Cricetulus griseus: one gene and its partner. Each later gene encodes a partner of the first gene's protein in a complex. Links are inferred from orthologs where the notes say so. Each region holds a gene or a part of one and is shown in the gene's direction. Other genes may lie near its edges.

Evidence for each region.
Region 2: the proteins of Iffo1 (region 1) and DNA repair protein XRCC4 are in contact, whole or in part, in a crystal structure (PDB 6ABO), measured with the Homo sapiens proteins. The link is inferred for Cricetulus griseus from reciprocal best matches to the Homo sapiens genes IFFO1 and XRCC4. Residues at the interface, in NP_001317253.1 of Homo sapiens: Arg469, Glu470, Tyr473, Ile477, Gln479, Ile480, Glu481, Glu483, Leu484, Ala487, Lys488, Asp490, Met491, Arg493, His494, Leu495, Tyr498, Met501, Lys505, Leu508, Asp509, Met512, Cys515, Arg516, Leu518, Ile519, Thr520, Gln521; in NP_001304941.1 of Homo sapiens: Trp155, Val158, Gln159, Phe162, Glu163, Cys165, Val166, Lys169, Glu170, Glu173, Leu176, Tyr177, Phe180, Val183, Leu184, Lys187, Lys188, Lys190, Ile191, Leu194, His195, Lys197, Leu198, Ala201, Ala202, Arg205, Glu212.

Annotation. Positions count from the first base shown.
Region 1 is NC_048601.1:21,280,704-21,285,211, reverse strand, and holds the start of Iffo1 (intermediate filament family orphan 1), read left to right. Parts: upstream 1-1,530; 5' UTR 1,531-1,570; coding exon 1,571-2,355; intron 2,356-4,508. Other genes in the region: Nop2 (probable 28S rRNA (cytosine(4447)-C(5))-methyltransferase), read left to right, coding at 310-947. UniProt on the Homo sapiens protein: Nuclear matrix protein involved in the immobilization of broken DNA ends and the suppression of chromosome translocation during DNA double-strand breaks (DSBs).
Region 2 is NC_048595.1:308,960,394-308,964,206, reverse strand, and holds part of DNA repair protein XRCC4, read left to right. Parts: intron 1-1,025; coding exon 1,026-1,198; intron 1,199-3,813.

The DNA of each region.
Region 1 (4,508 bases):
AGTGATCCTTTAACAACAGGGCACTTTGTTAGCACATCCTAATGTGTGGGATTCTTGGTCCAGAGGGGGCAAAATAAGCCTCCTTGTTTTTTCCTTTATTTCTTCTTCCTTCCTTTTTTCTTTTGTTTTTCAAGACAGGGTCTTTCTACTCTGGCTGTCCTGGAACTCACTCTGTAGACCAGCCTGGCCTCAAACTCAGAGCCACTCGCCTCTGCTTCCCTAGTGCTGGAATTAAAGGCATGCCCCACCACCACCCAACAGACTCCTTGTTTCTTAATGGTCAAACTATCTCTTTAATCTTTACCACAGGAAATGTGGCAGCAGCCATCCCTTCGGAGCCTGAGCTGAAGGATCAGGCCACTCCCTTGTCTGAGAACAGTGGTCAGCCCACCAAGGGAGCTGGTGGGGCGGCAAAGGCAAAGCAGCAGCTGGGGAGACAGCAGCATCCCAGAAAGCCCTTCCAGAAACTGAATGGCGTCTCCAAAGGGCTAGGTGCAGAATCCACTGCACCTTCTGTCCCAAAGGCCCAAGTGTCTGCCCGGCCCCAGGAGAGCAGTCAGCCTGATGGAAAAGCCGCAGTGATCAGGAAACCAAAAATGGCTAGGAAGCTAAAGCAAAGGGGACCCAAATCCAAGTCCTCCAAGGAAGCTGCTCTCCCAAAGCAGAAAGCCCCTCCCAAGGGTGTGGACTCGGAAACACCTGTTGTGCCTTCACCCTCTGAGATTTCCCCAGGGCTTAAGGACTGTGGTCTTTCCCTGGGGAAAACCAAAAAGATTGAAAAAGCAAAGCAGCAGTTACCAGATCATCCTGCCAAGACCAATGCCTCCCTAAAAGAGGATGATGCCCCCAAGGGACCCCAGGTCCCCACTGGGTCACCCCACGGTTCCACCAGACCCCCACCAACGAAAAGGAGGAAATTTGTGAAGAAGGGCAGCAGCCAGCCTTAGACGGACTTGGAAACTAGACTGTGCTGGTTCTCACATTGTCTCTGGATTGGAATTCTTACTTCCTGCAATGATGGTCTCCCCACTGTGCATACATATGAAATTTAATATACATATTTTCACCCCTAATCACTGTTGTGTTGTTTTAGGGTGCTGGGTATTGTCAATTTGTAGGAAGGTGGGCCTGCGATCGATGCTCTTGCCGGAAAATTGAATGATGGTTCAATATAGGTCAATGATAGGCTCCTTCCATTTCTTGGTCTCCTAGGGAAAAAACCACAGAATCAAATCTAGGGTACTGGGGACAAGGAGATGGCAGGGATGAAGGGAAGTTTTCCACTGCTGGTGCCCCTTAGGTACCAGAGGGCCTGGAATCGTAGGCAGTGGCTAGTTCCCCGGGGAAGGGCTAGTCGGCTTCCTTCTAGTGTTGACTCCACAGACCCGGAAAGGTCCAGGGCTAAGCCTCTAATTAGGATCTTTCATTGGCTTCCTCTAGTCCCGCCCTCACGACCTCTGCCCTCCTCCCGGGACGTCTGATTGGTTGTTCGTATCCGGCAGACGCCTCATTGGCTCTTATGCTCGCCCTCCGCTGCACTGGTCTCCATCTCCCAGCAGAAGGCGCAGCCATGAATCCGTTATTCGGTCCCAATCTCTTCCTCCTACAGCAGGAGCAGCAGGGCTTGGCCGGGCCGCTGGGGGACCCTCTGGGAGGGGACCACTTTGCCGGGGGAGGGGACCTGCCCCCGGCTCCGCTTGCCTCGGTGGGCCCCGCTGCCTATTCGCCTCCTGGGCCTGGTCCGGCTCCCCCTGCAGCCATGGCTCTCCGCAACGACCTGGGCTCCAACATCAACGTGCTCAAGACTCTGAACCTCCGGTTTCGCTGCTTCCTAGCCAAGGTGCACGAGCTAGAGCGCCGGAACCGGCTGCTGGAGAAGCAGCTGCAGCAGGCTCTGGAGGAGGGTAAGCAGGGCAGGCGGGGCCTGGCCCGCCGCGACCAGGCGGTACAGACCGGCTTCATCAGCCCGATCCGGCCCCTGGGGCTGCCCCTGAGCTCCCGGCCAGCCGCTGTGTGCCCCCCGTCAGCGCGGGTACTGGGCTCCCCCGCCCGCTCGCCGGCCGGACCCCTCGCTTCCTCTGCGGCCTGCCAGTCGTCATCCTCCACCTCCACCTCCACCTCCACCTCCACCGCCTTCTCCTCGTCGACCCGTTTCATGCCCGGCACCATCTGGTCCTATTCACACGCCCGCCGGCTTGGACCGGGACTGGAACCCACGCTGGTGCAAGGGCCTGGCCTGTCGTGGGTACACCCTGACGGGGTGGGCGTTCAGATCGACACCATCACCCCCGAGATCCGCGCTCTGTACAACGTGCTGGCCAAAGTGAAGCGAGAGCGGGACGAGTACAAGAGAAGGTAGGGACCAGGAAAGTAGGGACAAGGTTCAAGACATGCCACACATAATAAACACGGCTGGGCGGGGAGTTAGTGGGGGTTCCCAGGCCGGAGAACTCGGGGCCCAACAACCATGGCTCCTGCTGGGGCAGCAGTTGGATGGATGCATGGGTGGATGGATGGATGCATGGATGGATGGATGGATGGATGGATGCAGGGGCCCCAGAAGCCGCAGACAGTTCTCATCAGGCTTGTGACTAGAAGCTTTCTAGAAGAACACTGGGAATTCATGCTTTTCTTCGGGCATGTCTCTCTGTCTTATGCAGGCTGTAGTGTTTGCATGACTCTGCTATAACTGTGGGGTGTTGTGTGGTATGAAAGGGAGACGTGTCCGACCGAGAGAGCACTGCATCTGTGGGGTCGTGTCTGGCCCGCCTCAGACCTTGGGGCAATTTCAGGATATAAACTCCACACTTGAGGTGAAGGATGTAGTTTTAATTTTGGAGGAAAATTAAGTGAAATTGGAGTGAGTGAGTGAGGAAGGGACTGCTTCTGCCCAAGGTTTCCCTTAAAGGAAGCCCAGGTCTCATGTTGGTCCCATTTGAGAGGCTCAAGGCTCAATGCTCTCAGAACCTGAGAGCATTGCGTGGGACAGTTAAACAAACAGGGAAAGAAAGACCAGAAAGGGTACAGGCTCTCCTAGGACGAGGAGGAGGGATGGTAGTTGTTATAGAACTGGTAGGGAGGCTGTCGCAGAAGAGTTGTGAACAGAGAGCCAGCAGGGGGATGGAATAAGAAAAACTTGGGAACATGGGCACACCCTACAGTAATAGAGTATCTCAGGACCAGCCCAGTGTATTCTGAGGATGAAGGTTTGGCTATCTGAGAGGAACCCCGTCCCTAACAGGTTGGCACAAGAGTTAGGAGGAAGGGATGTCACATTGGAATGCTGGCTCTGTACCAGGGTGGGTGGTAACCAGGCGATAGGACAGAATCACAGGCAGAGTGAGGACTTTGGAGGTTGACCAGGCCGTGGCTGAGGAGGAAGAGGATGGCAGTCAGGGAGGCCTAGGCTTGGGGCCTCAGTATCATAGCTAATGTGACCCTTTCGGGCCAGCCTGGACTGCCTGTGAAGGCCAAGGTGGCAAGGGTTGCTGTCTGGGTAGCTGTGTGTGGGACCGTCTGGAGGCCCTGGGAAGCTGTTAGCATCCGCCCGATTATGTGTGTCTGCGCTTTCTGAAGTTCAGTCCTCCCTCTGACTTCCATGACTGTGGCCATGTTATAATTATCTTTGGGCTTTTAGTTGCCCCAGCATCTAGGTACCACCCAGAACTAGGCTGCACCTAGCTTTGCCCCCACAGGGCTTAATATAGGCGATGAAACACTTGACAGTTCTAGAGTTCTGCTATAATCCTAGGAACAGCTGCTCTTCTCCAGAGCATCGTTTAAAACAGAGGGTATTTGTCCTTGGTGCAGCTGTCCAGGGCAGCAAAGAGTTATTCCCTGGGATTGATTAGCTCATCACCCTGCAGCACGTTACTGTGCAGTGGCCCCGTGACTAGACTTGCACAGTATGTGACACCCTTCCACCCCAGAGCCCCTGCCTGCCTTCTGCGCTTGTTATAGCAACACCATGCGCCCCATCTTTAGCCTGGACAGCATGGGGAGCTTGAGTACCAAACTGGGCATGAGCAAAGCCCCACCCCCAAGTCCTATTGTCAGCTCTTTTGCCTGTGTGACCTTTTTCTTGGGGTTCAGGTTTTCCAACACAAGAATGACCCCTGCCTTTTTTATTCCACTCAGAGATAGGATTTATTTGTAGGAGAGACCTCTGGTAAATGCAGGATGTACAGTAATTGCCCAAATTCTACCCAAGTTATGGGAACCTTGCAAAAAATGAAGAAAGGTGAGAGAGAGTTGGATGGAAGTCATCATACTGCAGCCATTTATGTGTCTGGGTGGAGAGCAAACAGAATCCTCATGAGCCTCCCGATGATTCATTCTCAGACCTTCTACCCGGTGTGATCTCATTAATCGTCATCTTGCCTTAACATTCTCATGTATTACTCGGATTTAGTTAGTTCATTATCAAATAGGATCTCTGGCTCTTCCTGATGCATCTTGGCCAGGGGTTTAACCTCTTGTCAGTCCTGTGGGCTCCCTCCAGAGACTCG
Region 2 (3,813 bases), on another chromosome or scaffold:
TCTCCACCCTCTGATAGTTGACTAGGTTTACAGTACCAGGCATCACTTCTATCTTATTGAGTACACCATAGATGGCTGATGATTATTACCATTACCAAGATAAAAAGAACTATTTAACCTTTGGGGATATCTTAGCAGGCCAAGTATTGTTTTGCTTTGTAGACTTTCCAGTTGTATAGAACTGTTGATTACATTTGTCTGTTGTCAGGTTGCATAGCATTTTCTGATACTATGAGTGTTAATCCTCAGAGGGAAAGCTTTCAGGTCAGTACTGGTTCAATTCCTTAAGGTCTGTATGGGAAGTGTATGTTATCTTCAGAAATATCGACTTCCTCTAAAGTTGTAGGGGTGTAGCCAAGGACAATGGAAGTATCTTATGTTTGGTGTTTCTCTAAGTCCCTTGACCAACAGTTTGAAGGCATTCCTTGCCTGGCTCTGGAGTAATTGTTTAGTAATCAATTGTTCCTGCAGGGAGTGTTATTATCCATGTGGCATAAATCCATTAAACACACACACACACACACACACACACACACACACACACACACGGACAGTTCCTAGCTCTGGATACATAGATTTGCGTATGTAGTTTGGCATAACTACAGAAGTTGGGAAAGTAAAGGGGTGTAATGATTGGAGAGGAAGAAAAAGAGCTTGTTGTAGGATACAAGAAGTGCATTAAAAGGGCAAAGGAGAAAATACTGAAGGGGAAGATATATATATATATATATATATATTATTATATATATATATATATATATATGTAGAGAGAGAGAGAAGAGAGACAGAGAGACAGAGAGAGAGAGAGAGAGAGAGAGAGAGAGAGAGAGAGAGAGAGAGAGAACAGGAGAGGGAGGAAAAAGGGACAAATAGCACTAAAGGTATTTTAAAAAGCCACAGGGAAACATTTTGATTTTATTATTTTTTCAAAAACCTGTTATATTTGATAAAGTAGTAGTAACAACTAAGTACTTGTTTTCCAATAGAAACTTATTATTCATTATTTTTATTAATCTTTCCCATAGTTTCTGAATCGGAGATTTCCCAAGAAGCTGATGACATGGCTATGGAGAAAGAAAAATATGCTGATGAATTGAGAAAAGCATTGGTTTCAGGATCAGGATCTGACACATACAAATTCATCTTTTCTAGAGAGTCGTGCCATTTCTCCCTTGAGAAAGAACTGAAAGATGTCTCAGTAAGTACAGCTTCCCACAAATTTGATTTTATTGATGGATTTTGTTTCACATTCAAGTAGCAGTTCTATTATTCTTAGAGCACTTCGGGAAATAAATACCAAGAAATTAGTTGGTACACTCATTAATATGCCTCAAATATATGTAAAATGCGATTCTATGTGTGTTTTCTGTATGTATGGATGTGTCTGTGCATATGCATGCATGAGTGTGTGTGTGTGTGTGTGTGTGCTGAATCACATATGTGATGGCCAAGAGGACAACTTTTGTGAATCAGTTCTTTCCTTCCCCAAGGCCTCTGGTGGTGGAACTTGGTCCTTCATCCTTGTTAGCAAGCATTTTTCTTTGAGCCATCTCACCAGCTCACAATGCTTCAGGTTTAAAGTTCATGAAGCATTTCTTTTAATACATTGTGAAAAGTACTCTTCAATATTTAAAATACTTTAAGTATTGCAGTTAATAACATGAATGAACAATTTTGAAAGAAGTGAGATAAAGAGTTTTAGACTATTGCATCCTGACTTGCTCAAAAGTAAATATGGGAAAATACAGAATTTCAGAAAGAAAGCAATACTTTTACCTTTAGCTATTCAGTAAGTGATTTGTTTTCTTTCTTAGATATCTTAGAAATTTTGTTTTATTATATTGTTGTTGTTTAATGATTCTTAATTTATTATTTTATGTGTCTTGGTACTTTGCCTGCATGTGTGTCTGTGTGAGGGTTTTGAATCTCCTACAACTGGAGTTACAGACAATTGTGGGCTGCCATGTGTGCTGGGAATTGAACCCTGGTCCTCTGGAGGAGCAGCCAGTGCTTTTAACCACTGAGTCATCTCTTCAGCTCCCTATATCTGCAATTTTAAAACAACATAGTTAGGTATAGTAGTACATACGATTAATGACTAAGGGAATATTATTTATATTGTCATACTTAAAAATAATGAAGGAGGGCTAACTCTGTGTCTCAGCTTTCCAAAGGTTCCATGCTTTCTAGACAAGCATATCTGCTGTTTCTGTGCAGTTCTGACTAAGGTTCTGGCTACTTTATTAGACTGTGCTTACTGTCTTTACATAGTGCCCAAATTAATTAGACATTAAATTTGCTTTTGCTCTTGGTTTATTAATCATAGATCTACATCTTAAGAAAGGGGAAACTTACTTCATTAGGCTCATTGATAGTAATGAAGAATTTGCTTTTTAGATAAATCCAATTTTTAAATGCTCTTAAAGCAACCTTTTAAACTCCGAATAGTAAAGCGGAATTATCAATCTGAGAAATCTTTGAAGAAATAAATTAAATTATTTTCAAATATGTGTTATTTTGGAGAATAATGTATAATGGCTGGCTTTGTAATTTCAGTTTAAGGGATACATAGTCACAATAGCTACAATGCATATTTTTCAATATATTGCAGTTATTAAAATAATAATTAAAAATAGGTGAAGGAGATCTGAGTTGACAACTACAGTTTTATTAATTGTGTTCTTTTCTATGGCCAATGCTCAATCAGATGATATTAAATACATAACAACTGCTGCCAGTTCCTACTCGTATTATGAAGTGGAACAGGGCAAACTAAGTAGTAGTAATTCCTATTCAGCAGACATTTGTTTTACATAAATAGTGTTATTTTGTGATGACACTTGTCAAGTTAGTGAGAAGCTTTTGGTACCTGTGATGTGGTGAAAGGCTGGGGCTCAGCAAGTGCACTGCTGGAGGACTTGCCCTGGCTGCTTGGTAGTTTTGCTGATTCTCTGAAGAACAACCTCTAATTCTTCATTAGTTCCATCATTACAATTGGCTTACTCTGTATAAGAATTGAAGACTAGCAATAATCCTGAAAAAATTCTTGTTTTCCATCATGAAATTAATCACTCTATCAAAATCAAGGTCTTGAATACTATGCTTTCAACTGATTGTTTGTTTGATTGTTTGTTTTTCTGAGAAAGGGTTTCTCTGTGTAACATCCCTTACTGTCCTGGAACTACTCTGTAGACTTGCCTGGCCTCAAACTTATCTACCTGCCTCTTCTTCCTGAGTGTTGGGATTAAAGACAGCACTAACATGCCTGGCTTCAACTGATTTTTACTAGTGATTTAACAGCATAAAAAGACTCAGGAATTTAGAAGAGTCCTTAGACAAATGGCCTTCAACCATCACATTGCAGTTTAAATGGGTGTCCTTTTATTTATTCATTGTGTATTTGTTGATAAGTTTATTCATGCCTGGCTTGCTTGAGAGAGATATTTTGGACATTTAAATGAGGCAAAACTTTTCATGCTAAGGTCAGCTAAGGATGCAGCTGAAACATTGACAAACATATTCTATTCGGTACAATACTGGGAATTTTCTAGTATGCCATGTGTTTCTGCAAACTGATTTCAGAGTGATACCATCATATAAATTCATCTGTTGGCAAAAATGTGCTGACAGTTGCACACATGGTTCATTGTACTTGGATGACCCCCACGTTGTAAAGGAGTTTGTAATGGTTTCCTTAATGACACAGATAACTGACAGTTGCCAAAACAATGACCTCTTAAACTTAGACAAATGGGAAAGAATGTACAGATTCAATTAAGAAAGCTGTACTAAATTCTGTTGTGTTTCCACATA